Anolis sagrei: one gene and its partner. Each later gene encodes a partner of the first gene's protein in a complex. Links are inferred from orthologs where the notes say so. Each region holds a gene or a part of one and is shown in the gene's direction. Other genes may lie near its edges. The genes, in order: GPR161 and GNAL.

The links.
Region 2: the proteins of GPR161 (region 1) and GNAL are in contact, whole or in part, in a cryo-EM structure (PDB 8KH4), measured with the Homo sapiens proteins. The link is inferred for Anolis sagrei from reciprocal best matches to the Homo sapiens genes GPR161 and GNAL. Residues at the interface, in NP_001254539.1 of Homo sapiens: Arg125, Ala128, Val129, Leu130, Pro132, Met133, Tyr135, Pro136, Met137, Ile139, Ile211, Val214, Ala215, Lys218, Ala219, Lys267, Ala268, Thr271, Trp327, Asn328, Lys329, Arg332; in NP_001135811.1 of Homo sapiens: Ala41, His43, Lys203, Val204, Phe206, Phe363, Cys366, Arg367, Asp368, Ile370, Gln371, Arg372, His374, Leu375, Gln377, Tyr378, Glu379, Leu380, Leu381.

Annotation. Positions count from the first base shown.
Region 1 is NC_090023.1:41,701,928-41,718,032, forward strand, and holds the start of GPR161 (G-protein coupled receptor 161), read left to right. Parts: upstream 1-7,355; 5' UTR 7,356-7,385; exon of another isoform or gene 7,386-7,411; intron 7,412-7,533; exon of another isoform or gene 7,534-7,627; intron 7,628-8,352; exon of another isoform or gene 8,353-8,870; intron 8,871-9,548; 5' UTR 9,549-9,589; coding exon 9,590-9,960; intron 9,961-11,799; coding exon 11,800-12,524; intron 12,525-13,661; coding exon 13,662-13,766; intron 13,767-14,616; coding exon 14,617-14,736; intron 14,737-15,561; coding exon 15,562-15,809; 3' UTR 15,810-16,105. Other genes in the region: TIPRL (TIP41-like protein), read right to left, coding at 225-325. UniProt on the Homo sapiens protein: Key negative regulator of Shh signaling, which promotes the processing of GLI3 into GLI3R during neural tube development.
Region 2 is NC_090024.1:65,783,693-65,800,327, forward strand, and holds the start of GNAL (guanine nucleotide-binding protein G(olf) subunit alpha), read left to right. Parts: upstream 1-9,622; 5' UTR 9,623-10,033; coding exon 10,034-10,484; intron 10,485-16,635. UniProt on the Homo sapiens protein: Guanine nucleotide-binding protein (G protein) involved as transducer in olfactory signal transduction controlled by G protein-coupled receptors (GPCRs).

The DNA of each region.
Region 1 (16,105 bases):
GCAAAGCAGCCACTCCCAGGATTTCACAGCAATTAGAGGAAGTCAAACCGCATTAATTGTGCAGTGTAGACACACGCATGGTGTACAGAATGTGTTATTTGGAGCATTAAGGGTCATTCGCATTCCTCAAATAGAACAATCACAAAGGGTAACCGAGGAAGGCCCCTTTGCGGGATGTGAGGAAGCCAGAGGGGGGCGGCGGCCCTTCCTAGCGCCCCTCTCACCTCTCGGACTCGGAGGACTTGATAATGTGCGTCCGGGCGGCCGTGAGCTTCCAAGGGCCGAAAGCGAAGTCCCGCCGGCTGCTCTTAAAGACAGGCATCATGGTGGCGGTGGCAGCGAGGAGAGCGAGAAGCGAGTGGAGGGTGAGAAGGGGCTCCTCGCCCGGAAGCCAGCCCCCACTTCCCCCCTTAGCACCACCGCCACCGGAAGCAAACAGGTGACGTCATTCCGCTTCCTGTCCCACCACCTGATGAGCGGAAACATGCTTACGCTTCCCTATAGGCACTTCCGGTACTCTTTTGCAGGGGCCTCTCTTAAGTTCTCCAATGTGGGTCTCTGGCAGGTATAGGCAAACCTGGGCCCTCCAGGTGTTTTGGACTTCAACTCCCACCATTCCTAACAGCCTCAGGCCCTTTCCTTTTCCTTTTAAGCGGCTGAGGGGGAAAAGGAAGGGGCCTGAGGCTGTTAGGAATGGTGAGAGTTGAAGTCCAAAACACCTGGAGGGCCCAGGTTTGCCTAAACCTCCTGTATTGGCACGATATTCATTTTAAAATATAGTAAAAGTGAATAAAGACAAATCAATATAACAACTTTACTGAATTATAAAATTAATTTTACTTATTATGAAACATGGATTGCAATTTTTATTTTTATTGGTGGGACAGCTTTACAACAACTAAATTTACTGTATTATGAAACATGGATTGTAATTTTTATGTAGAGTATTATTGGTGGGATTTAGCCTGTTTAGCCTGAAGAAGACAAGGCTGAGAGGAGATATGATAGGCATGTATATTTCCTGACTGTGAGAGCCGTTCAGGAGTGGAACTCTCTGCCCCGGAGTGTGGTGGAGGCTCCTTCTTTGGAGGTTTTTAAACAGAAGCTAGATGGCCATCTGTCAGGGGTGCTGTGAATGCAATATTCCTGCTTCTTGGCAGGGGGTTGGACTGGATGGCCCATGAAGTCTCTTCCAACTCTATGATTCTATGATTTTCTGCTTTGATATTCTGGGATATAGGGCTGTGTGGAAGGGCCCTTAGATTGGGTTGCTGTAAGTTTTTTGGGCTGTATGGCCATGTCCAGAGGAGATTCCACCTGAACATGAGGAAGAACTTCCTGACTTTGAGAACCGTTCAGCAGTGGAACTCTCTGCCCCGGAGTGTGGTGGAGGCTCCTTCTTTGGAGGCTTTTAAACAGAGGCTGGGTGGCCATCTGTCAGGGGTGATTTGAATGCAATATTCCTGCTTCTTCACAGGGGGTTGGACTGGATGGCCCATGAAGTCTCTTCCAACTCTTTGATTCTATGAGTCCCAGAAGCATTCTCTCCTGACATTTCGCCTGCATCTATGGCAAGCATCCTCAGAGGTTGTGACCTATGATGTAGAATGCTCCTTTCATTTCATAGTTTGCAGTTTTAAGAGACTTCTCCGTTACAGAAAAAGAAACACTATTGCTCATGAGTAACAAATAGCACACAAAACCATAACACTTTATCTGATACAGATGTGTAACTTTTTGTCCACTTTGTATTGCCAATTATATTAATTCTGTTATGATTGTATATACATAACAGTATGAGTGTACCTATATTTGCATTCCAATTAAAAGTTCATGACTTACATAGTAGGCCCTCCACTTTCATGGGAATTGAGGCCACAGGACCACTGCGGACATCTAAAAACCGCAAATTAAAGAAATTGTACTTTTTGCCAGAGAGAACACCTCTCTAGGAATGTATTGCCGAAGGCTTTCATGGACGGAATCACTGGGTTGTTGTAGGTTTTTCGGGCTATATGACCATGTTCTAGAGGCATTCTCTCCTGACGTTTCACCTGCATCTGTGGCAAACATCCTCAGACCTCACTACCTCTGAGGATGCTTGCCATAGATGCAGGCAAAATGTCAGGAGAGAATGCCTCTAGAACATGCCCATATAGCCCGAAAAAACCTACAACAACCCAAAACCTCTCTAGGAATTTCTTGGTCCTCCAATGTGACACTGGCGAACTTCTAAAAGAATAACATTGGAGGCCCTAAAGTCCCTCATCACAAGAGCATGGATCCACTTTAAATCCAGTTTCAGCCTCCTGCAGAATTTTGGAGTTTCTAGTTTAGTGAGCCCTGGGACCTCTTTGACTGAGTAGTTTAAAGGTCCCTCCCAAAACTACAAGCCCCAGAATTCTGCAGGAGGCAGAAACCGAATTTAAAGTGGATCTATGCTGGAGTGTGATGAAGTCCCTGGTTCCCAATGTGAGGCATGTCCCATACAAGGGGGCAATTTGATTTTAAGGGTGACAATTCAGGAATGAGTTATTAACAGTTATTTGCATTTATTATGGTTCTAGGGGCTTTATATACAGTATATAAACATATATTGTGACATTTGCAATTTTAAAATTAAAATGAGAATGTACACAGTGGTCAGCTGTTGACAATGGAGAGGGGGAAAGCCCACTAGAGAGGAGAGTGAAGAGCATACACTGAACTAAAGAGGTCATAAGCTCAGAAAAGGGAGACAACTTTCATTCCAAAAATCCCACTCTTCTTCTTTTAACATTGCAAGCAATACAAAAAGTATTTTGTATAATAATTAAAATGATCAAAGTATTACAGAAAAAGCTTCCATTAAATTATTTTATATTTATGCATTTCAGTTTCTATTATAGGTTCTGAAGCTTTATTTGCTTTTTTCATGTTGTTATTATTTTTTATTATTTAAATTATTTCTCTTTGATTACTTCCTCAGTACTTCAACTGTCCTTTTGCTCTTTTATTTTTTTCTTTCTTTCATGGATGTGATGTCCTTTGGAAGTTTGTTTAATGGCCTTTTAGACTTCCTCCGCATAAACAAGAATTCACTTTTTTTTAAAAAAAAATAAGAATTATATGCCACCGGGGGTTGCAGGTGGGGAGGAATCAGGATTTTAGAGATGCTTACATGGGGCATGGCCAAAAAAAGTTTGGGAACCACTGCCCTAGAGAATCCTAGAGAGACCATATCAACCCACAAATGAATCCACAATGTTAAACCTGCAAATGCAAAAGGCTGAATATAAGTAGTGTTAGATTATTTGGTTGATGAACCATTTGTGCTCTTCAGTCTATTTCTGAAGAGAGGGTGGAGAGAAAGAAAGTGGGAAAGAAACCAGCTGTTGTTCTTCCTACATAACTCTGTGGTTAGTGTCTGCTAGAGGCTGACCACAGACTACAGCAAAATATCTAGCGGTTTCTAGGGAGATCATTTTAATCAAATCCATGAAGAATTCAACCTGCAAAAGTCAAACCCACAAATTGGTGGGTGGGGGAGAAGCTTTACTCCTACTGAGAAAGACAAAAAAAAATCAATATAGTTAGACTCAGACCCCTTTCTGGATCTCTGGGCCTCGGTAATTTACATCATCACCACAACATCAGATTTAGCTGGTTTCAAGAGTCTATTCCATTATTATCAGTGCATTATCTAACCAACTGTGTTGTGGATAACTAGGTCTGCTGATAAAATGATCTGTGCCCGGCTAGTGCAAGCTAAACCAAATGTGCCAGGACAGAGAAATACTCACCAGGTTGAAGACAAAACACAGAGGTTTATCCAGTTCAGCCAAAAGGGATGCAAATACAAGCAGATGCTTCAAAGTGTAGAAGCGTAAAACATACAGAGAATGCAAGAGATCTTATAAGGTTTGACAACTATTCAAAATTCCCACTCCTTTCCCTGATTGGCTGAGAGAGGGGCTGGTCTGGATCTGAGACCTGAATGGCTGAAGGTGCTGCTGATGCTGCCTTCAGGTTGTGATTCCCTATCATGGGGAGATGACAGCTTGGAGTTGGTCAGCCGAAGAACCAAACAGCTGGTGGGGTGTCCCCTGGTAGGAGACGTCATTTGTGAAGACAATGTTTAAATAAATGATACTAAGCTCTTGATTGGCTCAATAGTCCAGTTCTGTGTTTGACAAAGATAGGGGTTTCTGCAGTCAAAGACATGAGATTCCCAAAACAAAGGTGATGATCTTGGGCATTCACAGTTTGGGCTGTCAGTCAATAGGTTTAACAAATGTAATAATCATCATCATCATCTTTATTTATACCCCGCCACCATCTCCCCAAAGGGGACGCGGGGCGGCTAACATCAGGCCAAGCTCAAAAATAATACAGCAAAGTTGGACACAAAACTACAGAAAAAGTTACATCAAAACAAAATAAATAAAGTAACAAATTAAAATAAACAGTGCAAAATAACATAATAAAATCAAATAGAAAGGGTGGGCCAAATGCACGAGATAAAATGTTAAAACGTTAAAACCCTGGGTGAGATAGGAATAAAAAGTATATTTGTGAGGGAGGAGTCCAAGAAAGGGGAGCAGTGAGGTTTGGCTTTATTAAGGACAGGGGGAAAGTGCATCATGAGGACAATTATAGATGGAAACAAACAGAATGGGTTGAATGTACACACTCTAAGCATCTCTTTCCATGGTCAGCAATCTCTCAGCCTCAAGTGAACCATTTAATCAGACAAATACCTCTTGGCTTATCTGGGCTGACATGGGAAACTATCTCTGTATACATGAACAATTGATTCTGATGATTGCCTGTCTGCAAAACAGCCAGAGGGATTTGCCCAACCTTCCAGTGTTTGGGAAGTGGCTCTTTGGAGTTATATAGAGGTGATTTTTCTCTGGCTACATCTTGCTACATTTTATATGGAAAAGTATACATTTTATATAAAAGAAATAGATATTGTATACAGAAAGATACAATTTACACAGATAGTCAGGGGAAAAGTGACTGGCTTGACTCTGAAGGAGTTGGGGGTGTTGATGGCCGACAGGGAGCTCTGGCGTGGGCCGGTCCATGAGGTCATTAAGAGTCAGAAGTGACTGAACGAATAAACAACAACAGCAAAGTCAGGAAAAAATAGGCATAATTTATTAAAGGGTTGGAACTATAAAGTCTTTGTGGGGGTGAAGCTGCTGTTGGTCCATTTCCGATCTCCACCGCTTCGCACCAGCAAAGTTCAAAGAAGTTAAGAAATTTCATAAACTTGATAAACTATTAATCTTTTGGGAGGAGGGGCATTGTGACTCGACAACTGTACCCTTCTTTCTGAAGTTCTTCCCAGATACAATCTTTGTTCTGCCTTTCTAATACATCATGTAATCTAAACAGAGAGTGAAATGTTGTTTAAAGTTAGCTATATAGATCATGTTACTTGGGATTAAGGAGAGGAAAGGATCACATGTTCAAATTAGTTATTTCTTAAAAGTTTATAGAGGAAACCAAGCAAGATGATAAACAAATTCTATTGTTAGCACCCAGTAGAATAGACTTTTGAGCCAATAATAATTTGGTTTTAAATGCCATGCTTCAATGGGTTAGTTCTAAGTTATGGTAACAAAAGGAGGTATTCCAAAATGTGTGGCTTTTAACTGTTCTTTCCTTGCCAGTGATCTGACCATCTTTACATACACAATAATAATCCAGATTTCCTTTACCAATCCAATGGCAGCATATTCAAACACTGAGCGAAAGTGTTATGGTCTGGGTTTTGGGGTAGAAGACATGTTTATCATACTTGTCAACATTTCATAGATAAAAATAGTGATTTCTTTCCCTGCAGCTAGCACTGTGTGACTACACATATACCTCCTTTTTCCTTCAGGCTTCTTTCCATCTGCTCTACATTAAACCAATCGTAAACAAAAAGGAAACCTGTGGAATGTTTATTCTTACAGTCTGATTGTAATGACTGTAGAAAAATTGCAGCTCCAATATGTTCAGTAACATTTACTACTGTGAGAGGCCAATGGGATAGAATAAGGGAGAGCACTGTAATTCTTTTACCTGTTGATGTGCACTTCTTGTGGACTGAAGTAAAGTTGCATCAGTGGTCCCCACCTGTCATACATTGCACTCTCTTTCCTCCTGAAGACAAAGAATGGAGAGCTAATGTAAGGATTAAATCAGTTTTATAACCTGAGGCTAATGCTGGCCACACAGCATTATAACAAATAGTTGTAATGTCTTATGACCATGTTTTTCAGCTGCTTTGAGTAATATAACACACACACACACATACAGTATATATATATATAGGCCCCTTGGTGGCGCAGCGGGTTAAACCACTGAGTTGCTGAACTTGCTAACTGAAAGGCTGGGGGTTTGAATCCAGAGAGTGAGGGGAGCTCCCACTGTTAGGCCCAGCTTCTGTCAACCTAGCAATTTGAAAATATGCAAAATATGATTAGATCAGTAGGTACCACTTCTGCTGAAAGGTAACTGTGCTCCATGCAGTCATGCTGGGCACATGACCTTGGAGGTGTTTATGGAGAACATTTCATCACAGACTGCCCTTCGACCAAAGAGACCTGGCAAAAAGTGGCCATCGTCTTTGACTGGCCGGACTTGGTGCTCCAACCTGAGGAAACAGTGGTCTCTGTAATGGAGCTGGAAACCAGGATTCGGGGGCCACGTCGACACCAAGGAAGGAAGAGGAAGAGAGGACCCAGCAGGGGGACACTCAGGAGGCCTTTTGGGATGTTTCTTGGACAATGACAAAATTGATCAACTTGTACGTTCTCCTGGCCCTGGTTTTCCAGAGATGTCAAGAACCTCTAGTGTAAATTGGGTAGCAGAGAAAATAGGAATGAAGCCGGATGCCCCCTAACTGATGGAAAAAGTTCTGGCCCTGGCTGGCAGAGACCACATCTGGGATGACCTGAAGGGTTGTAGGTTTTATATAGATAGATATAATTGATAGGTAGGGAGCCACTGGTGTAGATTAGCCCTCAGCCATCTTATGTGGAATTCCAGGTAAGGGATGCTGGGCATATAATGTGGGGGGGGGGGGGGTGTTCTCATTCTGGCACCACCCAGATGGCAGGAAACTCTGCCAGTGGGGATGGAAACTGAAGTGTGTTCCTCATGCCACTGGACTCGCGGGCTGCCGCTGAATCCCAAGCGCTGCCTCCTGCCCTCCCATGGCCATTCCTTCGGCCGAGAAAGAGCTGGCCTTGGAGAAGAACAGCAAAAATGAAGGAGGGCCAGAAAGGGAGATGAGGTGTAAAAGGGCCAGGAATGCCGGGGGAGGAAATGCTGCCTAAGTCGGCTGCTTTGGAATTGGCGGCCGACTTTTCCCAGCAAGGCGAAGAAGACGAGCCTCCCGCCAAGTGAGCGGGTGGAGGAGCCTTGCAAGGCAAGGGAGGAAGGAGGAAAGGCATCGGGATCCTCTTCTCGGCCCGCCGAAGAGGCCCAAAGTTGAGGGGGAGAAGGAGGGAGAGGAGAACAAAGGAGCGGAGGAGGGGAAGAGGGGGAAGGGGCGGCGCTGGGGGAGCTCCGTGGGCGGCGGCGCTGGTGGGGGGTCCCGGGAAGAGAGCCCGCTCCCGCAGCAAGGCAGCCCCCGGGACACACGGTGAGTGGCCTCGCACGGCGCCCAAGGGGGAGGCTGGGCACCGAGGAGGAAGGAAGGGGTTCGCCCGGAATGGAGCGCCATGCCCCACCTCTGGAGGGGAGACTCGCGGGAAGAGAGGGCCTCCCGTTTCGGGAGGGAAGGAGAAGGGGCTGCCTGTGTCCGACCCCGAAGAAGAGGAGGAAGAAGGAGAAGAAAAGGGGGAAGGAAGAGAAGGAGAGAAAGAGAAGGGAGGGAGAGAAGAGAGAAAGAAAGAAAGAGAAGCGGGGAAGATAGAAAGGGAAGGGAGAGAAAAACAGAGAAGAAAGGGAGAGCGAGAGGAAGAAGGGGGAGAGAGAGATTGAGAGAGAGAGAGAGAAGGGAGGAAGATAAAGAGAAAGGGAAGGGAGTGAAGGAGAGAAAGACAGAGAAGGAAGGAAGAGAGAAGGAAGGGAGAGAAAGAAAGATTGGAAGATAGAGAGAAAGGGAAGGGAGAGAAGGGAGAGAGAGAAAGGAAGGAAGGAAGATAGAGAGAAAGGGAGAAAGAAAGAGAAGAGAGAAAGAAGGGAGAGAAAGAAGGAAAGAGAGGAGGATAGGAAGGGAGGGAGAGAAGGAGAGAAAGGGAATGGAGAGCAAGAGAGAAAGACAGAAGGGAGGAAATGAGAGAGAAGGATTGGAAAGAGAGGAAGAGAGAAAGGGAAGGGAGAAAGAAAGAGAGGAAGAGAGAAAAAGAGGGAGAGAAAGGGGAGATGGAGAGAACTACAGAGAAGGGAGGAAGAGAGGGAGAAGGAAGAAAGAGAAAGAAATAGAAAAGAAGAGGAAGATAGAGAGAAAGGGAGGCAGAGAAAGGGAATGGAGAAAGAAAGAAAAGGGACAAAGATTGAGAAAAAGAGAGAAAAGGAAGAGAGAGAAAGAATGAAAAGAGGAAGTGAGGAAAAAGGAAAAGTTAGGGGAGAGAGGAAGGAGGAAGAAGGAAAAAGGAGGAGAAGGAAGCAGAAGGGAGAGGAAAGGAAGATGAGGCCCTTGAAATAAAGGCCAGCTTTTCTCAGGGCGCATCTACATTGTAGAACAGGCATGGGCAAACTTGGGTCCTCCGGGTGTTTTGGACTTCAATTCCCACAGTTCCTAACAGCCTCAGGCCCTTTCCTTTTCCCCCTCAGCCACTTAACCCAAGTTTGCCCATCCTTGTTGTAGAATGAGTGCAGTTTGAAACCACTTGTCTCTGTGCCATGGAATCAGGCTTCCAGTCTTCCAGACATTACAAATAGTGAGTCAACCGTCCCTGTGATATCCAGCAACAGGGAAAAGAACAGCTGAAGGAGTTCTAGGCTGCATCCACCAAATTATAGTGTCCAGATCAAGAGAAAGGACACTTTATTTGGCTTGTGTCCAGTTCTGAGCACCAAAGTTTAAGTTTGAAACTTGTGCGAGGTCCATAGGAGATGCAACTAAGATTACAAGGGGCATGGAAACCAAGGGTCATTTCACACCATACAGTTGTAATGCTGGGATTCCACTTTAACAACTACTGTTCCATCCTGTGGAATCCCAAGTTTTGCAGTTTCGGGAGAAGCTTTTAGAGTTTTCAGTGGGATTGTGCTCATGTCTCTTCAAGCTGCAAATCTCAGAGTCCCAGAGGAAGGCAAAAAAAAAAAAATAGAATCATAGCAGGGTAGTATGAAAAGAGTCCTATGAGCGATGGGCATATTTAACTGGCAATGAAGTGATGTGTGTGGGGGGAGGGGGGAGTATGTGGATGGATTGCTGATCGCACATATCATGTATCAATGAAGCATTGATCTAGAATACACCAAAGAGCCCTTCCCCACTGGCTGCACTTGATGATATGTAATGATTTTAAACCAATTAAAGATAGAATGTAAAATTATATCATTTAGAAAAGCACAGTATTCGAATGATACCTGTGTTTTTCTTCTTTTTCCAGGTGCCCAGCATGTCCTGGCTGTCCATCTTCCGTACGCTCTGATGATGAGCATCAACTCCTCTCTCAGCCACAAGAACGCCTCAGGGAACCTTACACTTCCAGAGAATGGAGTAGGCAGAATTACAGAGTCAATTGCAATTATTGTCATTGCCATCTTCATCTGTTTAGGAAACCTGGTCATTGTCCTGACCCTCTACAAAAGGTCATACCTCCTCACACTCAGCAACAAGTTTGTGTTCAGCCTGACTCTATCCAACTTCCTCCTTTCGGTACTTGTGCTTCCTTTCGTTGTGACCAGTTCCATTAAGCGAGAATGGATCTTTGGCGTCGTTTGGTGCAATTTTTCAGCCTTGCTGTATATGCTGATCAGCTCTGCCAGTATGCTCACGCTCGGACTCATTGCTATCGACCGGTACGCAATGTTTTTCAATAGAAGCCACGTGTCAGTGAGCAACAATGAAGTCTCTGTCTTATCCACCCATTCTGAGAGATAATGTGATTCAAAAAACCCAGTATAACCATGTCCTTAAACTAAATATTATGAGGACCTGTTTCCTTTTTCATGCCTATGTGCAGGTAGCAAAGCATGATTGAACTGATATGTCTTCTGTTAGGTCTCAGAAGCTGCTGTAAAAAAAATAGGAAGTCTAATCATTGGCCTGATGCAGCAGGCTATTCATATGTTATAAGTACAGGTTAAGTCTCCCGTATCTGACACACTTGGAACCAGAAGTATTTCAGATTATTCAGATTTTGAAATATTTGTATTGTAATGTATTTAAAAACACAAACAAAGTTAACAATTTGGCATTATGCTAAATGCCTTTTGACCAAGAGCTGGCCACTTGGAGTGCCTCTAGTGTCGTTGTGGGAAGGTCATCCATTGTGCATGTTGCAGGGCTCAGACTGCATTGTAGTAGGTGGTCTGTGGTTTGCTTTTCTCCACACTCACATGTCACGGACTCCACTTTGTAGCCCCATTTCTTAAGTGTGGTTCTGCATCTTGTGGTGCCAGAGCGCAGTCTGTTCAGCACCTTCCAAGTTGCATGGTCTTCTGTGTGCCCAGGGAAGAGACTCTAATTTGATATAAGCCATGGATTGAGGTTCTGTGTTTTAGCCTGCCACTTTTGGACTCTTGCTTGCTGAGGTTTTCCTGTGAGTATCTCTGTTGATCTTAGAAAGCTATTTCTTCATTTAAGGCAATGGCTTGCTGGCTGATATCCAAACAGGGGATGGGCCAGAGATGTCACTGTCTTGGTCCTTTCATTATTGGCTGCTACTTCCCAGCGGATATCAGGTGGTGCTAAACAGTATAATTCCTCCAGTGGTGTGGGGAGTAGACATCCTTTAATAATGCAGCATGTCTCATTAAGAGCCATATCCACTGTTTTAACGTGGTGAGATGTGTTCCACACTGGGCATGCTTATTCAGCAGCAGAGTAGCAAAGCGCAAAGGCAGATGTCTTCACTGTATCTGGTTGTGATTCCCAGGTTGTGCCAGTCAGCTTTCACATGATATTATTTCCAGTGTCCACTTTTTGCTTGTTAGTCAAGCAGTGCTTCTTGTAAGTCAGAGCATGGTCCAAGGTAACTCCTAGGTATTTTGGTGTGCTGCAGTGCTCCAGCGGGATTCCTTCCTAGGTAATCCTCAGAACTTGAGATGCTTGCCTGTTCTTAAGGTGAAAAAACACATGTCTTTGTTTTAGATGGATTAGGAATCAGCTGGTTTCTCCTGTAATAGGCAGTAAGAGCACCTAAAGCTTTGGAGAGCTTGCAGCATTTTGTACATGAAGCAAAGTTTGTGTACACTGAGCCATCAGACAGCAAAAGGTTCACAGTCTCAACCACCCATACGGACAATTTTGGAGTATTTTGGATTTTGAAACTCTAATAAAGGAATGCTCATATTCCTCATCCAATTTTAACACATGTAATTCAAAGAAATCAGTTCTTTGTGCTATGCAGTATGGAACTGCCTCACAATAAAATATCCATTATTTTGAACACCTCTGTAGTGTCACCAACAACTAGCCTTTGTGTGCGACATTGTACAATGCTTAAGATACTTACTTCATATGATTTCTCTGTAGAAGTCCTTCTGTCCCGTCCCCCCGTCCCCGTCCCTCCCCCCCAATTTCTGAGTAAGCAGTGATTTCAAACAAAGCATGAACTAGGTTGCAATTGATCCTATTATTATTTGTTTCTTGTATATTTCTTAGTTTGACTGCAGTCCTCCTTTTCTATGTTTCAGGTACTACGCTGTCCTATACCCAATGGTTTACCCAATGAAGATTACGGGTAACAGAGCAGTGGTGGCTATTGTGTACGTGTGGCTCCATTCTCTCATTGGGTGCCTTCCTCCCCTCTTTGGTTGGTCTTCCCTAGAGTTCGACCAGTTCAAATGGATGTGTGTGGCTGCATGGCATAAACAGGCAGGTTACACTGCTTTTTGGCAGATCTGGTGTGCATTGCTGCCCTTCATGATCATGATGATATGCTATGGATTCATCTTCCGGGTGGCTCGGATTAAAGCTCGGAAGATTCATTGTGGCAGTGTGGTCATTGCAGAGGAAGATACTCAAAGGAATGGGAGAAAGAACTCCAGTACTTCAACGTCCTCCTCGGGAAGCCGAAGGAATGCTTTCCAAGGGGTGGTTTATTCTGCCAACCAATGCAAAGCTTTGATAACCATCTTGGTTGTGATTGGTGCTTTCGTCATCACATGGGGGCCTTACATGGTGGTTATTACCACTGAGGCACTTTGGGGGAAAAACAGCATTTCCCCAACTTTGGAGACATTGGCAACATGGTTATCTTTCACAAGTGCCATTTGCCACCCTTTGATTTATGGACTATGGAATAAAACGGTACGCAAGGAGTTGCTAGGAATGTGTTTCGGAGACCGATACTACCGAGAATCATTTGTGCAGCGACAAAGGACATCCAGATTATTTAGTATTTCAAATAGGATTACAGGTAATCAAATGTGCCCTTTTTATTCTTTCAATGCTGTAGTCAAGGTAAATAAGTATCCAAATATTGGTTGCTCATGTTTAATGGGAAACATTCACATTTCATTATGCAGCTCAAAGAGAAAGTATGGTTTAAGAGCATAAAAAGAGTCATGTGAATCAAACCAAGGGTTAATGATTTCAGCATTTCATTACCACAATGACCAACAATATTTCAGTTGGGTTGCTGTCAATTTTCCAGGCTGTATGGGTATGTTTCAGAAGCATTCTCTCCTGACGTTTCGCTCACATCTATGGCAGGCATCCTCAGATGTTGTGAGGTCTGTTGGAAACTAGGCAAGTGGGGTTTATATATTTGTGGAATGTCCAGGGTGGGAGAAAGAACTCTTGTCTGCTTGAGGCAAGTGTGAATGTTGCAGTTGGCCATCTTGATTAGTATTTAAAGGGCCTTGCAGCTTCAAAGCCTGGTTGATTGCTGCCTGGGGGAGTCCTTTGTTGGAAGGTGTTTGCTGGCCCCGATTGTTTCATGTCAGTATTTTAACTCATTCCCAGTGCAGGTATAACAAGCTAAGTGATTGACTGGATCAAATGATGGGCTACCTTTGAAGAGTCTTCAGAAACTTCAACTGGCCCAAAGTGCTTTGGTGAAATTGTTAATAAAGCTGGCTACAGGGAGTGCAAAACCTCTCTGTTGCAACAGCTCCATTGGCTGCCAGTTTGCTTCCAGACACTATTCAAAGTGCTGGGTTGTAGCCTCTAAAGTCCTATATGACACAGGTCCAGGTTTTTTGACAGATCACATCTCCTGGTATGGACCTGCCCGGCCCCCTCCCTGCTGTCCTTCCAATGGCAGGCTAAAGACTTTTTATTCAGGTTTGAAAGGAACACGCCAGGAGAGGAAGATGCTGTAGGATATGAGATTATTTTAACAGTTTTAAAGTGTTTTGAGTTATTTTAATTGACTTGTATGATTAATTCTATTTTAATATTTGCATGTTGTGGATTTTAAATTGCTTCGTTTTTTTAATATTGTGAGTTACTTTGTGTCTTAATCAAGAGATAAAAATGGGATATAAATGATGATGATGTCATATATCCAGTCACTTCTTTAGTGTTTGTTCATTCTGAAATTCTTTTGCAGATTTAGGACTGTCTCCACACCTCACAGCTCTTATGGCAGGTGAAAGGACTTTAGGACATAGCAGTAGCACAGGAGATACAGGATTCAGCTACTCTCAGGATTCAGGTAATAATAATAATAATAATAATAATAATAATAATAATAATAATACACTTTATTTATATTCTGCCCTTCTTTTGATTCAAGGGGGGCTGAGTTTCATGGGGGGGCTGAGTCTGAGTGCAGGAGGGTCTACTCTAGCAAACCTTTTGTATTGTTACCCCAATCGTCCGTCCGTCCGTCCGTCCCCCCCCCCCCCCCCCAGGCCTACATGCCTGGTTCTGTGTCATTTTGGGGAAGTCGTTGTCAAAAAAATGTACCAAATTATTTTTTTCCCATGAGGTTGAAGTAACAATGGTAGGCTTCAGGGCCCAGCAGCTGCATGAAGTCCACAGGCCACATTTTGACCACTCCATATTAGAACATTCACATTGAACATGTGCAAGAAATGTGATGTGCCTGCTAAAATATCGAATACAGCCTTAGGCCACATTAACAGCAGCATCGTATCACGATTCTTCCAGTCTCAATGCTCAGTTTTTTGGGGGGAAATTGAAAGGCCAAGTTGAAGAGAAACAAGTAGAAGAGTAAAGCATGCCTCCCAATCCTCTCTGTTGCAGGTTCCTCTTGCTCATGTATTAGCACTACAAGAAAAATACAAACTTGAGAACTTCAAGGTATTCATAGTGTATTTCTAGCTCTTAGAATACTGTCAGTTCCTTTAAAATCCTTAAACCAATCTAGCCAAACTTGTAACATCAGATGACAGAGCTCAATTTCCTTCATCCCCAACAAGGACAGAAATGCCTACCTAGGAACTTACGGTGTGAAACATCTGGGGGACATTATGTTAGGAAGGCTGTCTTAAACTGAGATATTGTGGCATGCAACTAATCCATGATGCCCTTATTTTCAGGAACAGATGTCATGCTACTTGAAGACTATAGTTCTGATGGAATGCATCACCCACATTGTGTGTATCCTCATCGACGGAGGAGTTCAGTGACATTTGAAGATGAAGTGGAACATATTAAAGGTACACTGCGGTTGGATGTTTTAACTTGGAGCTGCATTGGTGGTGTAGAGGATTACTTGCAAAAAGAATTCCTCCATAATAATAATATACATTTTTTCTGATTTTAAAATATGTAATGTATATTAATATATTATACATCTATATAAATTAAAATGTAATGTTCATTTGTGGGATTGACATAATGCAAAAAACACTGGACGAACTGACATCAAATTTGGACACAATACACCTATTAGGTCAACAAGTGGCCATCACTCATAAAAATACTGAAAAACACAGCAGAAGAGACTTAAAACGCAAAAAATACATTAAAACACATGTGCAAAACCAGATACACACACATACATGCAAACACACATACAATATATACACATATACACAAATATATACACAAACATATATACACACACAAAAACACATATATACAGACTGGGTCACAGCAACGCGTGGTAGGGGACGGCTAGTAATATATAATACTACAGTATTATACAAATGATACCTTGTAGCCTTTTTGAGACTATGATCCCTTTTACACTGCCATATAAAATCTAGATTATCTGCTTTGAACTGGATTATATGGCAGTGTAGACTCATATAATCCACTTCAAATCAGATGTGGATTATCTACTTTGATAATCTGGGTTATATGGCAGTGTAGAAGGGGCCTGAGAGCAAGAGCAGTTTCTCTTAATTAGTCTCAAAGATGCTATGAGATCCCTTTGGATATTGATCCAGACTTTAATGGCTATGTCTTTGAATTCTTCGCAAATATTAGACAATATGCAAAGGTAAAAAGCTCTCTCTCTCTCTTTTCTTTTGTTTTAGACACAACAAAGAATTCTGTCCTTCATGTAAAAGCAGAAGTTCATAAGTCTCTGGACAGTTATGCATCCAGCTTGGCCAAAGCTATTGAAACTGACGTGAGGATCGCTTTGTTTGGCGGAGATGTTTTAGCTGGTTCTTTGTTCCCAGTACGAACTATGGGAAACAGCAGCACCTGCGCACGGCGCGGTGGCCGGACCCATGCTGGCCAAAGATTACAGCTGCAGAGCATTGAGGAAGGAAACACTTAAAATGCCTCAGTGGGGACCAGACAAAACCACTAAGGACGATACAGGGCTGTTTCTCTTGTGGAAGAAAACAACCCATGGAGTTTTAGTCAAGGACATGGAAAGATACCTGAAGACTTGGCTTAACAGTATTAGTATATGTGTGTGTGTTTATATAAATATATCCAGTCACCCCGCCCACCAGGATAGTCACAATGTGCCTGAATGACTGCTCAGCCAAGGAACACATTCATAACAAAAGGGATATGGGGAGCAAAAAAGGAGTCCGCTCACAACTTGAACAATAAACTGCTATTTGC
Region 2 (16,635 bases), on another chromosome or scaffold:
GGTACGCTACATCCACGGCATTCCCCTCATCTACCCAGCTTGTAGCTCTATCGAAGAAAGAGATCAGATTAGTCTGGCATGACTTGTTTTTGATAAATCCATGTTGACTATTAGCGATGACTGCATTTGTTTCTAAGTGTTTGCAGACCGCTTCCTTAACAATCTTTTCCAGAATTTTGCCCGGTATCGACGTGAGGCTGACCGGACGGTAGTTGTTTGGGTCGTCTTTTTTTCCCTTCTTGAAGATTGGGACCACATTGGCCCTCCTCCAATCTGCTGGAACTTCTCCTGTTCTCCAAGAACTCTCAAAGATGGTTGCCAATGGTTCCGAAATGACTTCCGCTAGTTCCTTCAATACTCTTGGGTGTAGTTGATCTGGCCCTGGGGACTTGAACTCATTAAGAGCGGCCAGGTATTCCTGGACGACTTCTTTCCCAATTTGGGGTTGGATGTCCTCCAATCCCTCACCCACTCCATCTTGCTGAGGTTGAAGACTCTCTTTTTGTGAGAAGACTGAGGCAAAGAAGGCATTAAGTAGTTCTGCCTTTTCCCTATCCCCTGTCAGCATTGCCCCATCTTCTCCTCGAAGAGGTCCTATCGCCTCCTTGTTTTTCCTTTTTCTACTGACATAAGAATAGAAGCCCTTTTTATTGTTTTTAATGTCCCTGGCAAGTCTGAGCTCGTTTTTTGCTTTAGCCTTGCGGACCTTTTCCCTACAGGTGTTGGCTATTTGTTTGAATTCTTCTTTGGTGATTTCTCTCTTTTTCCACTTCTTGTGCATGTCCCTTTTGTGTCTTAGCACAGTTAGAAGTTCTTTGGACATCCATTCTGGCTTCTTTGCACTTGTCCTATTTTTTCTCTTTGTTGGCACGGTTTGCAATTGCGCCTTGAGTATTTCACTCTTGAGAAATTCCCATCCATCCGTAGCTCCCTTGTCTTTTAGTATCTGTGTCCACGGAATGCTGCTCAGCGTTTCCTTCATTTTTTGGAAATCAGCTCTCCTAAAGTCCAAAATGCGGGTTTGACTTGTCTTAGTTTCGGTTTTCCTTTGTACCTCAAATTGCAGGAGCACATGGTCACTTGCCCCTAAGGATCCTACCACTTCGACCGCATCGATCAGGTCCTCCGCATTTGTTAGGATGAGATCAAGAGTAGCCAATCCCCTTGTTGCCTCTTCTACCTTCTGGACCATGAAATTGTCTGCAAGGCAAGCGAGGAATTTGTTGGACCTTGTACTCTTGGCCGAGTTTGTTTTCCAGCAAATATCGGGATAGTTGAAATCGCCCATGACTACTACATCTCTTTTCTGTGCCTGTTTGGTCAACTGTTGGCAGAAGACTTCATCAAGATCTTCTTCCTGGCTTGGGGGTCTGTAGTAGACGCCTACAACGACATCTTTTTGAGTCCCAGTTCCCTTGATTCTTATCCAGATGATTTCAAGCTGGTTTCCTAGATTGCTGTCTTGAATTTCTTCTGCAGCATAAGAGTTTTTGACATATAAGGCTACTCCGCCTCCTCTCCCCTTTGTTCGGTTTCTGTGAAAGAGGTTATACCCCTCGATATCTACATTCCAGCGATAGGAGTCATCCCACCAGGTTTCAGTGATGGCTATGATATCATATTTGTGGTGTTGTGCTAGAAGTTGGAGTTCGTCTTGTTTATTTCCCATGCTCTGTGCATTAGTGTAAAGACATGTGAGCCCCTGGGATCTTCCCTTGAGCTGTTTAATTGGGATTATTGTGCTTTTGGTACTTGGTCCTTGTTGTGTTTGTGCAGCCCTCCGTTTAGCCTTCTGGCGATTCCCAGACATTATGGGTAAAGTAGTGTTCGCAAGGCTGTTGTCCCCCTCCCCCGGTGGACCTAGTTTAAAGTGCGTCTAATGAGGTTTGCGAGTCTGTGAGCAAAAAGGTGTTTTCCTACTTGTGTGAGATGCACCCCATCCCTTGCCAGTAGGCCATCCTCCTGGAAAAGCAGGCCATGGTCGAGGAAGCCAAAGCGTTCCTCCTGACACCATTTTCTAAGCCAGTCATTGACCTGTACTATTTTTCTGGCTCTTGTGGGTCCGTGTCTTACAACAGGGAGGAGGGATGAAAAGACCACCTGTACGTTACATTCTTTTAGCATTTCTCCTAGAGCTCGAAAATCATTTGTGATCTTTTGAAACGTATGCCTTGCAGTATCATTGGTTCCTACATGAATCAACATGAGGGGAGGACGGTGATAGGGCTTGTGATGACCTCCAGCCATAAAATTATTTTCATTTCTACTTCATATCTGTAATTTTGCTATTGTGTTATGAATTGCAATGTAAATACTTGACATGCAGGATGTATTTTCATTCACTGGATCAAATTTGACACCTGATATGCCCAAATCTGAATACTAGTGGGGTTGTGGGGGAGGGGATTGATTTTGTTATTTGGTTAAGTTGTAGTTGCTGGGCTTTATAGTTCACCTACAATCGAAGAGCATTCTGAACTCCAATGATGGAATTGAACCAAACTTGGCACACAGAACTCCCATGAGCAACAGAAAATATTGGAAGGGTTTGGTGGGCATTGACCTTGAATTTGGGAGTTGTAGTTCACTTACATCTAGAGAGCACTGTGGACTCAAACAATAATGGATCTGGACCAAACTTGGCACGAATACTCAACATGCCCAAATGTGAACACTGGTAGAGTTTGGAGAAAATAGACCTTGACATTTGAGAGTTTTATTTGCTGAGATTTATAGTCCACCTATAATCAAAGACTATTAATCAGGAAATCAGGAGATGCTTACTTCTTGGGAGGACAGCAATGACCAATCTTGATAAAATAGTGAAGAGTAGAGACCTCACACTGGCAACAAAGATCCGCATAGTTAAAGCAATGGTATTCTCCATAATCACCTACGGATGTGAGAGCTGGACCATAGGGAAGGCTGAGCGAAAGAAGATAGATGCTTTTGAACTGTGGTGTTGGAGGAAAGTGCTGAGAGTGCTTTGGACAGCGAGAAGATCCAACCAGTCCATACTTCAAGAAATAAAGCCTGACTGCTCATTGGAGGGAAGAATAGTAGAGGCCAAGATGAAGTATTTTGGCCACATCATGAGAAGAAAGGAAAGCTTAGAGAAGACAATTATGCTGGGGAAAATTGAAGGAAAAAAGAAGAGGAGCCGACCAAGGGCAAGATGGATGGATGGTATCCTTAAAGTGACTGGATTGACCTTGAAGGAGCTGGGGGTGGTGACGAGGGCTGGTCCATGAAGTCACAAAGAGTTGGAAACGACTGAATGAATGAACAACAACAAATAATCAAAGAGCATTCTGAATCCCACCAATGATAGAATTGGGCCAAACTTCCCACACAGAACCCCATACCTTGAAGGGACTCGCTGGTGCAAGCTTCCCTCTAGCCTCACATGCTCCCCCCCCCCCACACACACACACACACACATGTGCACCATGCTCTCATGCATCGAGCACGCCTGCTCTCTTCTCCCCCGTTTGTACTCTCTGAAAAAGCCCTCCCCTAGGCTGAGAGGCTGGCCAATCACAGAGGAGTAGGGCTTTTGGTGGGAGGATTCGCTGTCTGTTTCAAAAAGGAAGAGAAGCACAGCCGGAAAGATCATCAGCCTTCTCTACCCAATGGGTTCCTAAAAGCATCAGAAATAAATGTTTTCTGGTGGTCTTTGGCAACCCCTCTGAAACCCCCAGGTTGAGAAACACTGATCTAAGGCCATTCTCTCCAAACTCAGAACAGCCTAAAAGTTACTTTCGCTTTTGTTTAGTTAAGATAATCTGTGATCATACCCTTCCATCCTCCCATTTTCCCCAGCATGTTGGCTTTTTTGCACATCTTGGCTTGATGAAGAAATGTTTGTTTCTGAAACTTGCACAGAGGTTTTTGTGCCTTTTGGATTGTCCTAAAAAGGTGTTATCACATTTTGGCCTTTGGAGTGATTAAATGGATTATTCTCTGTCACCCGCCCAAAAACGATTTTATGTTAATGAAATATATGCAGGACTAGCTGTGTTGGCCATGCACTTATATACACCAAAATACAAAATCCACAAAACAGCGACACCTGTTATTGAGCCAACTAAAAAGGATAAAATACACCACGCAAGCTTTCAAAGCTTCACTGGCTTCTTTTTTAATTAGTTTAATAACTACATCACTGTTTTGTGGATTTTATATTAATTAGTTAATTTAAATGGCAATGGAATTTGGCCTCATTTTGATGAGTGGAGAGCAACACTTTGGTCTGCTTGCATCTAACAAAAAACATCATATAGATGAATTCAGGTTGCTTTATAACATCTATTGAGAAAACTAGGACTTTTCTCAGAGTGGTCTAAGAAATGTGAGTTGATTTTCTTGCATTTTGATTATCATTTTCTCTTCCAAGTCCATTTGTTCTTTCAGGAGGCAGTGTCTATTTAATGGATCTTCATCTGGGTATGGGGGTATGGTTTGCTGAGAGTTCTCTTGCTTAAAGGGAAAGTTTTCTCTTGTCTTCTTCCATTTTTTCCCCTTAGATATAGCATTTCAGATATACGAGAGCACTAGAACTATAAAATTCAACACTGAGCCTGGAACCCCAGGTCTCAATGGTGGCCAGGGGAGCCTTTGCACAATTAAAGCTTGTGTGCCAGTTCTGCCCGTACCTTGGGAAGTCAGACTTGGCCACAGTGGTCCACACTCATGTATAAATTACTGCAATGCACTCTGCGTGGGGCTACCTTTGAAGACTGTTTGGAAACTTCAACTGGTCCAACGATGGCAGCCAGATTCCTCACCGGAGCGGCGTACAGGGAGCACACAACTCACTTGTTGTGCCAGCTGCCAGTCTGCTTCAGAGCATAATTCAAAGTGCTGGCTTTAGCCTACAAAGCCTTAAACGGTTCCGGCCCAGCTTACCTGTACAAATATATCCTACCCTATGAACCACCTCAGAGATTAAGATCGTCTGGGATGGCCCTGCTCTCGGTCCTGCCTTCTTCACAAACACGACTGGTGGGAATGAGAGACAGGGCCTTCTCAGTGGTGACCCCTCAATTGTGGATCTCCCTCCCTAGTGACATCAGATCAGCCCCCTCCCTCCTCACTTTCAGAAGGAAAGTAAAAACGTGGCTCTGGAACCTGGCTTTCAGAGACTTCTGTACGACCATATAGATTGGTTTATGTGCAATGATTATGGAATTGGCCTTGGACCATGATCTTTGGATGGTGTGATTTTAATACTGAATGTAATTTTTAAATGCTTAACTTGTATTAATTTTAACTCAACTGATTTTAAGTTTTTAATGTCTGTATGTGTTGCAAAGCACTGAACAAATGCCACATATAGCTGCCTTGAGTCCCCTTTGGAATAAAGAAAAGTGGGGTATAAATAGAGTAAATAAAAATAAACAAATAAATAAAAAAACTATTTTTACAAAGTAACGAGAAAGAATAGAAAAGATTTTTTTTCTCATAGGTTTTTGGATGAACGGGCTCCTTTACAGGTGGGAATAAAATGTTGCAGTAAATACCTGGTCTTGCCAGAAAATAGCCAAGGACAAAAGAAACACTGCCTTGAAGTTTTAAAGAACCAAGAGTGCTGCAATCTTCATGACAATCCACAGTGCTCCTGGAAGAATCTAAGGTGAAATTTATTTTCCCCCTTTATATAAAACCCAGTGATAAATGTCTTACAAGCCCACAAGGTAGCTGCAAGTTCTCTCCAAAATATTTTAAATGTTTGGGACCAGAAGTGTTTGGGTTTTTTAAAACCTGTATTTGCATATATGTATATAATGAGAGTCCTCAGTGATGCAGCAGGTTAAACCACAGAGCTGCTGAACTTGCTGACCAAAAGATTGTGATTCGAATCTGGGGAACAGGGTGAGCATTTGCTGTTAGCCCCAGCTTTTGCCAGCCTAGCAGTTCGAAAACATTCAAATGTGAGTAGATCAATAGGTACCGCTCCGTTAGGAAGGTAATGGTGGTCCATGCCGTCATGCTGGCCACATGGCCTTGGAGGTTTCTAGGGATAATGCCGGCTCTTCGGCATAGAAATTGAGATGAGCACCAACCCCCAGAGTCGGGCACGACTAGACTTAATGTCAAGCGGAAACCTTTACCTTTACTATATAATGATATGTTGCAGGTGGGACTCAAATCTAAGCACAAAACTAATTTACATTTCATATATTATTATTATCATTAACAAGATTAATACACAGTAAAGAAGAGCACTATGCTGGCTATTGTGTTTGATCACATGTCAGACACTTCTCAAGTGTCTAGGACTGTGTGATATATCGGCGAATAATGCGTCCAAATCCAAGTAGGGTGGCCTTTTGCAGTTGACGGATGGCAATTTTATCAGCGCCAATTGTTAAGTGCAGGCCAAGATCTTTAGATACTGCACCCAGTGTGCCAATCACCACTGGGACCAACTTGATTGGCTTGTGCTAGTCTTTGCAGTTCTATCTTTAATTCCTCCTATCCTCGAAGCTTTTCCAGTTGCTTCTCATTAATCCTGCTGTTACCTGCAATTGCAACATTGATGATCCACATTTGTCTTCCCCCCCCCCCCCCCACGATTGTGAGGTCGGGAGTATTGTGCTCCAAAATAATAATAATAATTATTATTATTATTATTATTATTATTCATACCCCGCTTTATCTCCCCCGAAGGGGACTCAAAGTGACTTTTACGCATAGCTTGTAATTTCATACTACTTTTTTGTAATAATATGCATGAAACGATGTTTGTGTAATGTATTGCGAAGGCACACCTAGCGCCAGCAGACAAGAGCCCTTTGTCTCACCCTGGCCATTCCACAGATAAATAAACCCTTTTTCCTAGTTCCAACAGACCTCACTACCTCTGAGGATGCTTGCCATAGATGCAGGCGAAATGTCAGGAGAGAATGCCTCTAGACCATAGCTATATAGCCCGAAAAAACCTACAACAACCCAATGTTTGTGTACACTGAACCATTGGAAAGCAAAGGTATTGAAGGGGACAACCCTCTTCAGTAGGACTATGCGGATATGTGGAAAATATGTGGAATATTTTGGAGCATTTTCTGGAATTCTGGAAAAAGGACACCCCATCTGTCCCATTTCCAGCAAAATACCACTAATCAATGCCACTTGCTAAAACACCTTATGAGATGGCTGGCACCACATCCAAAAGGTCTTGTAGATTGTCTTCATCTCATAAAGGGAGGATTCCTGAAGGTCTTCATCTATTTCAGTCACCAAAAAGACTGCTAAGGCCTCCAAGGGCGAGATAATAAACAAGAGAAAACAAAGGGAAATGTTGGTATGACTGTGGGTTGGGGAGGAAAGGAAGCAATGGCTCTGAGGGACAGCGATATGCTGCAGTGGCGATAAACGGCGGTGGCTCGTTGGTGACAGACATGAGATGCGGCGCGTGGGCGAGCTTGACTCGGCCTGGCTGTGTTTGTGAAGGAGGAGGATTTTCGCCTCGGTGAAATAAGAGAAACAGGGGTTGTCCCCACTCTCTCCTTGAGAGAAATCAAGCAGGGAAATAACAAGCGCTGACTTTTTTCCTGGTCTCTCTGGGGGAAATAAGAGAAATGGTTGTCCTTGCGTGCCCCTCTCAAGGAGAGCGGGAAAGGGGGTGGCTCTGTGATAGAAAAAGGCATGAGGGGAAGGGAAAAGAAGGCCTGGGGCCGAGATGAGGGAAGGAAGCCTGTCTCTGTGTGTACGTGTGTGTGTGGTTGGTTGGTTGGTTCGAGGCACACACCTGTCAGTGCGTGCGTGTCCATGCACACATCTTGGCTCCTGAACTAAACTCTTGTGTGTATGGCGGATCCTAGCCATACCTAGCCCTCTGTATGTATGCACAAATCTGAGCCACACAAACATGCCTGGGCTCCTGAATGAAACCCAAATGTGTGTTGTAGTCATACAATGTCTCTGTGCACGTCGATCCACACACCTTGGCCCTAGTTTATGTGTGTTGTGGGTTGTAGACACACGTTTCTGTCAATGCTTCGGTGCACATGCCTCGGCTCTTGAACAAAACCCTCGTGTGTGCATGTATTGGCTTGAAGACATACACATGAATCTGTGTTTGTATATGCACCTTGAGTCTTGAGCAAAACCTGAAGACATATAGGTGTGTTGGATTGTAGACACACATGCCAATCTCTGTACATGTTTGTGTATCTATGAACATGCCTTAGCTCTTGAACAAACCCTAGTGTGTGTGTGTTATAAACATACACGTTTCTGTGTGCATATATATACATACACCTTGGCACTGGAATGAAACCCTAATGTGCTAGGTGTGGTTTGCAAACATACACACGTGTGTGTGTGTGCCTTTCCATATACTTGAGTATTGAACAAAATCCTCATGCATTTGTTTAAATTTAAATTTAACCTTTACTAATGTTGTTTAAATGTGTTTTATAGGATAGTTATTATTTCTTTTATAACTATTTGTTTATACTATTTAAATTGTTTTTATTTAAATTATATTAGTTATTTATTACAGTACAAGGCATTGAATATTTGCCTTTTGTGTCTGTGAGCCGCCCGAGTCTCCACAGGGAGATGAGGTGGAATACTAATAAAGTGTTGTTGTTGTTGGATTATAATTATTTTTATTTAAAGCATTTATATTCCACCTTTCTTACCCCGCAGGGGTCTCAGGGTGGAGCACAACATATATATGACAAACATTGGCCCTAGTGCAGGCATGGGCAAAATTGGGCCCTCCAGGTGTTTTGGACTCCAGCTCCCACAATTTCTAACGGCCTATGTATGTTGCAGACATCCAGCATCCCTGTGTGTTCATCCATGCACATTGGCCCTAGTGCAGGCATGGGCAAACTTGGGCCCTCAAGGCCGAAGTTTGCTCATGCCTGCACTAGTGTATGTGTGTATAGTTTCCACCTGCATGTTGGTGTACACGTATGGGCTCCTGAATGAAGAAGCCCTAGTTTGCGTGTCTCGGTGTCCAGTCCATCTGTCTTCATGCCTTGGCCCTAAAGTGTGTGTGTGTATATATATATGTGTGTGTGTGTGTGCTGCACGTGCGTACTTCTGCATATGGACTCCAACTCCCACAATTCCTAACAGCTTATGTGTGTTGCAGACATGTAGCATCTCTGTGTGTCCATCTATGCACACTGGCCTTAGTGCAAGCATGGGCAAACTTGGGCCCTCCAGGTGTTTTGTGCTTCAGCTCCCACAGTTCCTAACAGCTTACTAACACAATTCCTAACAGTCACAATTCCTAACAGCTTATGTGTGTTATGGACACACAGTATCTCTGTGTTTGTCCATCCATGTACCTTGGCCCTACTGCAGGCACGGGCAACTTGGGCCCTCCAGTTGTTTTGGACTTCAACTCCCACAATTCAACTCCCACAATTCCTAACAGCCTACAGACTATTAGGAATTGAGTGAGTAGAAGTCTAAGATACCTGGAGGGTATGTGTGTGTAGTTTCTACCTGCATGTTGGTGCACACGCCTGGGCTCCTGAAGTGCCTCGGTGTCCGGTCCATCAGTCTGCCTCCTTGGTCCTAATGTGTGTGTGTGTGTATATGTGTGTGCTGCGCGTGCGTACTTCTGCCTCTCTGCCTGGGCGCGCGCTTCTCCCCCTCCCTCCCTCCCTCTTTTCCTTCCCAAGCAAGCCTTCCTTTGGTGGTGCCCTCGAGCTGCGCGGTGGGCTCGCGCTGGGGTATTTACGGTAAAGCGGCGGGTCCGTGTCAGGTGATGTGAGGCGAGGAGGAGGAAGAAGAGAAGGAAGGGAGGAAGGAAAGGAGAGGAAGGGAGAGAGGAAGGGGGGCGGCAGGCGAGCGTTCACAATGCAACATGGCCCGGGAGCGGCGCCGGCGGGCAGAGAAGCAGCAGCAGAGGCATCCTGGGCGTCCCGGGGCCTGTGAGGAGGGGCTGCTCCCCGCCGCGCCGCCCTCCCCTTCCTCCACCTCTTCCTCCTCCGCCTTCTCCTGCTTCGCCTCGACGCTTCTCCTTCCCGGCCATCCCCGCTGAGCGCCCGAGGCACCGCCCGAGATGGGGCTCTGCTACAGCCTCCGCCCGCGGCTCTTCGGAGAAGGAGGAGGCGGCGGCGGTGGGAGCAGCGGTGGCGGCGGCGGCGGGTCATCCATCTCCAGCAGCAGCGCCGCCGCCGCCGCTGCCGAGAGCGAGCCGCCTCAGCCGCCCTCCCCACTGCCCAAAGCCAAGAGAGATGAGGAAGGCGGGAAACGAGGAACAGCAGCTGCGGACGGGCCTCGGCTGCTCCTTCAGAACGGCGGCGAGGGGAAAGCGGAGCCAGCCTCAGCCTCGTCCTCGGGGGGAGCTCCCACTCTGCAGCTCCTGCCCCCGCCTCCTCGGGAGAAAGGAGGGCGCCCCCCGGAGGAGCGCGAGGCCGAGAAGGAGGCGCGGCGCGTGAGCCGGAGCATCGACCGCGCGCTGCGGGAGCAGAAGCGCGAGTACAAGCAGACGCACCGCCTGCTGCTCTTGGGTACGTCAGCGTCGCCTCGCGGGAAAGGGGGAGAGCCCCGAGCGCGCGCCGGGTTTGAAAAAAAAGAAGAAGAAGAAGGGAAGGGGCGAAAAAGTGGGCGGGGCGAGGGGGCAGCGCGCTCCGAACAAAAGGGTGCCCCTCCCACTAGACACCTCTCTCTTGAGTGTCAGCAGCAGCAGGTCCACTCCAGGCAGACACAGTATCTGCAGGTTCTGCATCCACAGCTTTAGGATATTTATTTATTTACACAATTTATATGCTGCCCATCTCACCCCGAAGGGGACTTACAAGTTATATCATACTACTTCTATTAGCATATCACTATATTAGTATTATATATTGCTATATTGTACTATACCACTATATTGCAATGTTATTACTAATATTACATTTAATATAAAATTCATAATTATTCTATTGTATTATTATATTGTATATAAAATATTATGATTACTATTAAATGTAATTACAACATAGTATATTATTAGCATAGCACAATATTAATATTAGATAATGCTATATTGTCCTATACCACTATATTGCAATATTATTAATAATATTACATTTAATATAAAATATATAATTGTTATATTGTATTATTACTAGTATTATGTTGTATATAAAATATTATGATTAATATTATATGTGCTTACAACATATTATATTTTTAGCATAGCACAATATTAGTCTTAGATTTTGCTATATTGTACTATACCACTATACTGCAATATTATTAATAATGTTACATTTAATATAAAATATATAATTATTATATTGTATTATTATATTTTTAGCATAGCACAATATTAGTCTTAGATATGCTATATTGTACTATACCACTTTACTGCAATATTATTAATGTTACATTTAATATAAAATATATAATTATTATATTGTATATAAAATATTATGATAATTATTTTATGTGCTTACAACATATTATATTATTAGCATAGCACACTATCAGTCTTAGATATTGCTATATTATACTATACCACTATACTGCAATAATATTAATAATGTTACATTTAATATAAAATATATAATTATTATATTGTATATAAAATATTATGATTAATATATGTACTTACAGCATAGTATATTATTAGCATAACAAAATATTAGTCTTAGATATTGCTATATTGTACTATGCCACTATACTGCAATAATATTATATGTACTTATAACATATTATATTATTAGCATAACACAATATTAGTCTTAGATACTGCACTATACTACTATATTGCAATATTTTAATAATATTACATTTAATATAAAATATATTGTATTAGTATTATATTATACATACGATATTATGATGAATACTATATGTGCTTACAACATATTATATTATTAGCATAGCACACTATCAGTCTTAGATATTGCTATATTGTACTATACCACTATACTGGAATATTATTAATAATGTTACATTTAATATAAAATATATAATTATTATATTGTATATAAAATATTATGATTAATATATGTACTTACAGCATAGTATATTATTAGCATAACAAAATATTAGTCTTAGATATTGCTATATTGTATTATACCACTATACTGCAATAATATTATATGTACTTATAACATATTATATTATTAGCATAGCACAATATTAGTCTTAGATATTGCTATATTGTACTATACCACTATACTGCAATATTATTAATAATGTTACATTTAATATAAAATATATAATTATTATATGTTATTATTGTATTGTATATAAAATATTATGATTAATATTATATGCACTTACAATATATTATATTATTAGCATAGCACAATATTAGTCTTAAATATTGCTATATTGTATTATACCACTATATTACAATAGTTTTAATAATATTACATTTAATATAAAATATATAATTATTCTATTGTATTATTACTAGTATTATATTGTATATAAAATATTATGATTAATATTATGTGCTTGCAACATATTATATTATTAGCATAGCACAATATTAGTCGTAGATATTGCTATATTGTACTATACCACTATACTGGAATATTATTAATAATATTACATTTAATATAAAATATATTATCATACTATTGTATTATTATTAGTATTATATTGTATATACAATATAATGATTAATATTATATGTGCTTACAACATATTATATTATTATGGTGTAAATAAATAAATATTAGCATAGCACAATATTAGTTTTAGATATTGCTATATTCTACTATACCATAATACTGCAATATTATTAATAATATTACATTTAATATAAAATATATAATTATATTGTAGTATTATTAGTATTATATTGTATTACAATATTATTATCAATATTATATGTGCATACAATATATTATAATTATTAGCATAGCACTGTATTAGTATTAGTTATTACCAAAGGCAAATATCCCAAAGGCAAACTGTTTTGTAGAAGGGGCACTGTTTTAATGGGGCTTTCTCCCAAGGAGCTCATCACACTAGAGAATGAATCCACTTTAAATCCGGTTACTGCCTCCTGGAGAATTCTGGGGTTTGTAGTTTAGGGAGGCTGTTAAAGGCTCCTCCCTAAACTACAAACCCCAGAATTCTGCAGGAGGCAACAACTGGATTTATTCTCTAGTGTAGTAGTTCTCAACCTTTGAGTCTCCAGATGTTTTGGCCTTCAACTCTCAGAAATCCTAACAGCTTTTTTTGTGTGTGTGTCAGAAGCGACTTGAGAAATTGCAAGTCGCTTCTGGTGTGAGAGAATTGGCTGTCTGCAAGGACGTTGCCCAGGGGACGCCCGGATATTTTGATATGTGGGGGGTTTTTTTCCATGTCAGGAGCGACTTGAGAAACTGCAAGTTGCTTCTGATGTGAGAGAATTGGCCGCCTGCAAGGACGTTGCCCAGAGGACATCCGGATATTTTGATGTTTTGATTTGTGGGGTGTTTTTTTATATCAGGAGCGACTTGAGAAACTGCAAGTTGCTTCTGGTGTGAGAGAATTAGCCGTCTGCAAGGACGTTGCCCAGGAGACGCGGGATGTTTTTGATGTTTTACCACCCTTGTGGGAGGCTTCTCTCATGTCCCAGCATGGGAAGTGGAGCTGACAGAGGGAGTTCATCCACACTCTCCCTGGATTCAAATCTCGGACCTGTCGGTTTTCATTCCTGCTGGCAGAAAAGTTTAACCCATTCCGCCACCGGGGGGGGGGTTCCTGGTAAACAGCTGGTAAACTGGGATTTCTGGGAGTTGTAAGCCAAAACACCTGGCGACCCAGAGGTTGAGGACCACTGCAATGAAGTAATTGAGGAGGTTTTGTTATCCAAGCCCCAGTGTGTGTGTGTGTGTGTGTGTGTGAAAGAGAGAGAGAGAGATCTTCCTTTTGGGCCAGTGCTTTCCCATTTCCTCCCCTTCTTCCTGTAATTTGTCTCTGCTTCCGACTGTGGATGTTGTGCCTGAGGTATATTTCTTATTAAATTGTTTGCTCTTACAGATTTTCTTTTCGGGAGCCCTTCAATTTCGGTATGAACAGGTTTTTGCATTTGAAAATGAACTCACCATTTAATTAATCTACATTCAATATGAACAGGAAAACGTCCCTTTGAAATACATGGGTGCTCTTGATACAATGGAAATTCCAGTCCCATTGTGGCACAGCTCTGTCACACTCCTTCCTTGTCACCTCCTGCTCTTCCTCTGCTCTCTCTCCTCCAAATGACCTCTCTGCTGAGCAAAATGAGAGGATGGAGGCAGCAGGTGATGCTCTCTTGTTCAGCCAGAGGATGCATCCATTCTGGAATGAATACAGTTTGACACCACCTGAATTGCTTTGGATCAACACTGTGAAATCCTGGAATGTGTAACTTGGCGAGGCACCAGCCCTCTTAGGAAGAGAAGGCTAAAGGCTACAACTCCCATGATTCCATAGCATTGAACCATAACAGTTGAAGTGATGTCAAACTGCATTCATTGTGGGTAGTTGCCGGTAGGCTGTTAGGAATTGTGGGAGTTGAAATCTAAAACACCCAGAGGGCCAAAGTTTGCCCATGCCTGATCTAGATGCACCCAAAGGCTACCCAAAGTGGTCTCTTAGGATGGCCTTCCCCAGGCATGGTGTAGGTGGAGCTAAAAGTAAATACTACTTCCAGTGGCACCTCCAGACTGTGAAATTGTTTAGCTGTTAGTAAACAAAAGAACTGCACTTCAATTCACAATAAAGACTTTTCTGTTTGTTGCCCATTTGCAACTGTTAATACATTTTCTAGAAGAGGAGGTATGGTTTTTATAACTCACTAGCTTGGGGACCCGGCATTACCCGGGTTATTGGGAGAAGTCCTTTTTTCCCCCAAAATGAATAAGGTTGTGGTTGTAATGCAACTCACATCATGCTAGGTTAACCCCCAGAAACTCCAGTAATTAAAGCTGGACATGTGCGGCAACTTTGCTCTAGATGCATCATTGGTGTGGTTCAGTGTGCTCTCTGGCGGTAGGGTAAACTCCCACTATGGTGAGTCAGTTCCCTCAAACCCCTCCAGTAGGTTGAGTTGATCATGGGGATTCTGTGTGCCAAGTTGGGTCCAGGACCATCATTGGTGGACATCACAGTTTCTCTAGTTGTGTGTGAACTACAACTCCCAAAAAGGAAGGTCAGTTCCCCCCAACCCCCAACCCCCCCAGTAAACAAATTTCAGCATATCAGGTTTGTGTGCCAAGTTTGGTTCAGATCCATAGGTCTTTGGGTTCACAGTACTCTGGATGTAGGTGAACTACAACTCCCCTAAAAGAAGGTGAATGACTTCCAGTATTTGTTGCTGGTCATGGGAGCTCTGTGTGCCAAGTTTGGTCCAATTCCATCTTAGGTGGAGTTCAAAATGCTCATTGATTGCAGGTGAACTATAAATCCCAGTACCCACAACTCCAAAATGTTCAGGCCAATTCCCCTCAAAACCCACCAGTATTCAAATTTGGGTATATCGAGGATGCATACAAAGTTTGGTCCAGATCCCTCATTGTTTGGGTTCATAGTGTGCACTGAATGTAGGCGAACTACAACTTCTATAAATCTCCCCAAAGACAGTGAAGAGAAAGTGCTGGCTTTCAACTATTTTAAAGACTGATCATTTTAAGGCATGAGGCTTAAAGACTATTTTATTCCTCTGTTCTCTGCCTGAATTCAAAGAGGCCGATGTATATACATACCGTTACCATGTTTGAACCTTTGAATTTAAGTACTGTTACTTGTTGTACAAGCCTGAGTAACATTTTATTATACAGCAAGATATACCTTGGTTAATTTTATTTATTTATTTTGGGTACTTCTACCCTGCCCTTCTCAACCCCCTAAGGGGGACTCAGGGTGGCTTCCAACCGGCATGCGTTTGATGCCTACAATTCAACACAATAAAATACATAGTAACAATAATTATAAACAGTTGAAAACATTACATTAATACAATAAAAAGCCAGCCTGGTGGCCATCGTTTCTCCAAGTCCATAATTAATACTGTGGTAAAGCTTCTGCTTATTCCGCTTATTCACGTTTACCAACTCTCACACTTTTGACTTTTTTTTATTCTGTCAGGAGCGACTTGAGAAACTGCAAGTCGCTTCTGGTATGAGAGAATTGGCCGTCTGCAAGGACGTTGCCCAGAGGACGCCCGGACGATTTTGATGTTTGTTAAAATCATCCCTGTGGGAGGCTTCTCTCATGTCCCCGCATGAGGAGCTGGAGCTGATAGAGGGAGCTCATTCGCCTCTCCCCGGATTTGAACCTGCAACCTGTTGGTCTTCAGCCTGCCGGCACAGGGGTTTAACCCACTGCGCCACACTTTTGAGTGGTAAGAAGGAAAAGTTAATTAGGAATATTGTTATTGTGTGCCTTCTAGTCATTTCAGACTCAGGACAACCCTAAGTTTAAAGTTTAGGGTGGAAGCCGGGTAAATGACCTTGGAGAGCCACATCCATCCCATGAGTCTTAGTTTGGGGACCCCTTGTTTACACTGTTTTTGTGCATTATGAAGGTCAAAATAAAAATCCTTCAGCACTATCAAAAAAAATCTCACCAGAAGGAAGACAGCTGCTTTCCTGTCCTTCTAGGTTGTGGTGAAATCTTTCGCAAGCAAATCCTAATCTTTTACAGATAATATAAATAAGTATAGCCCTGTTGCTACATCTTCCTTTT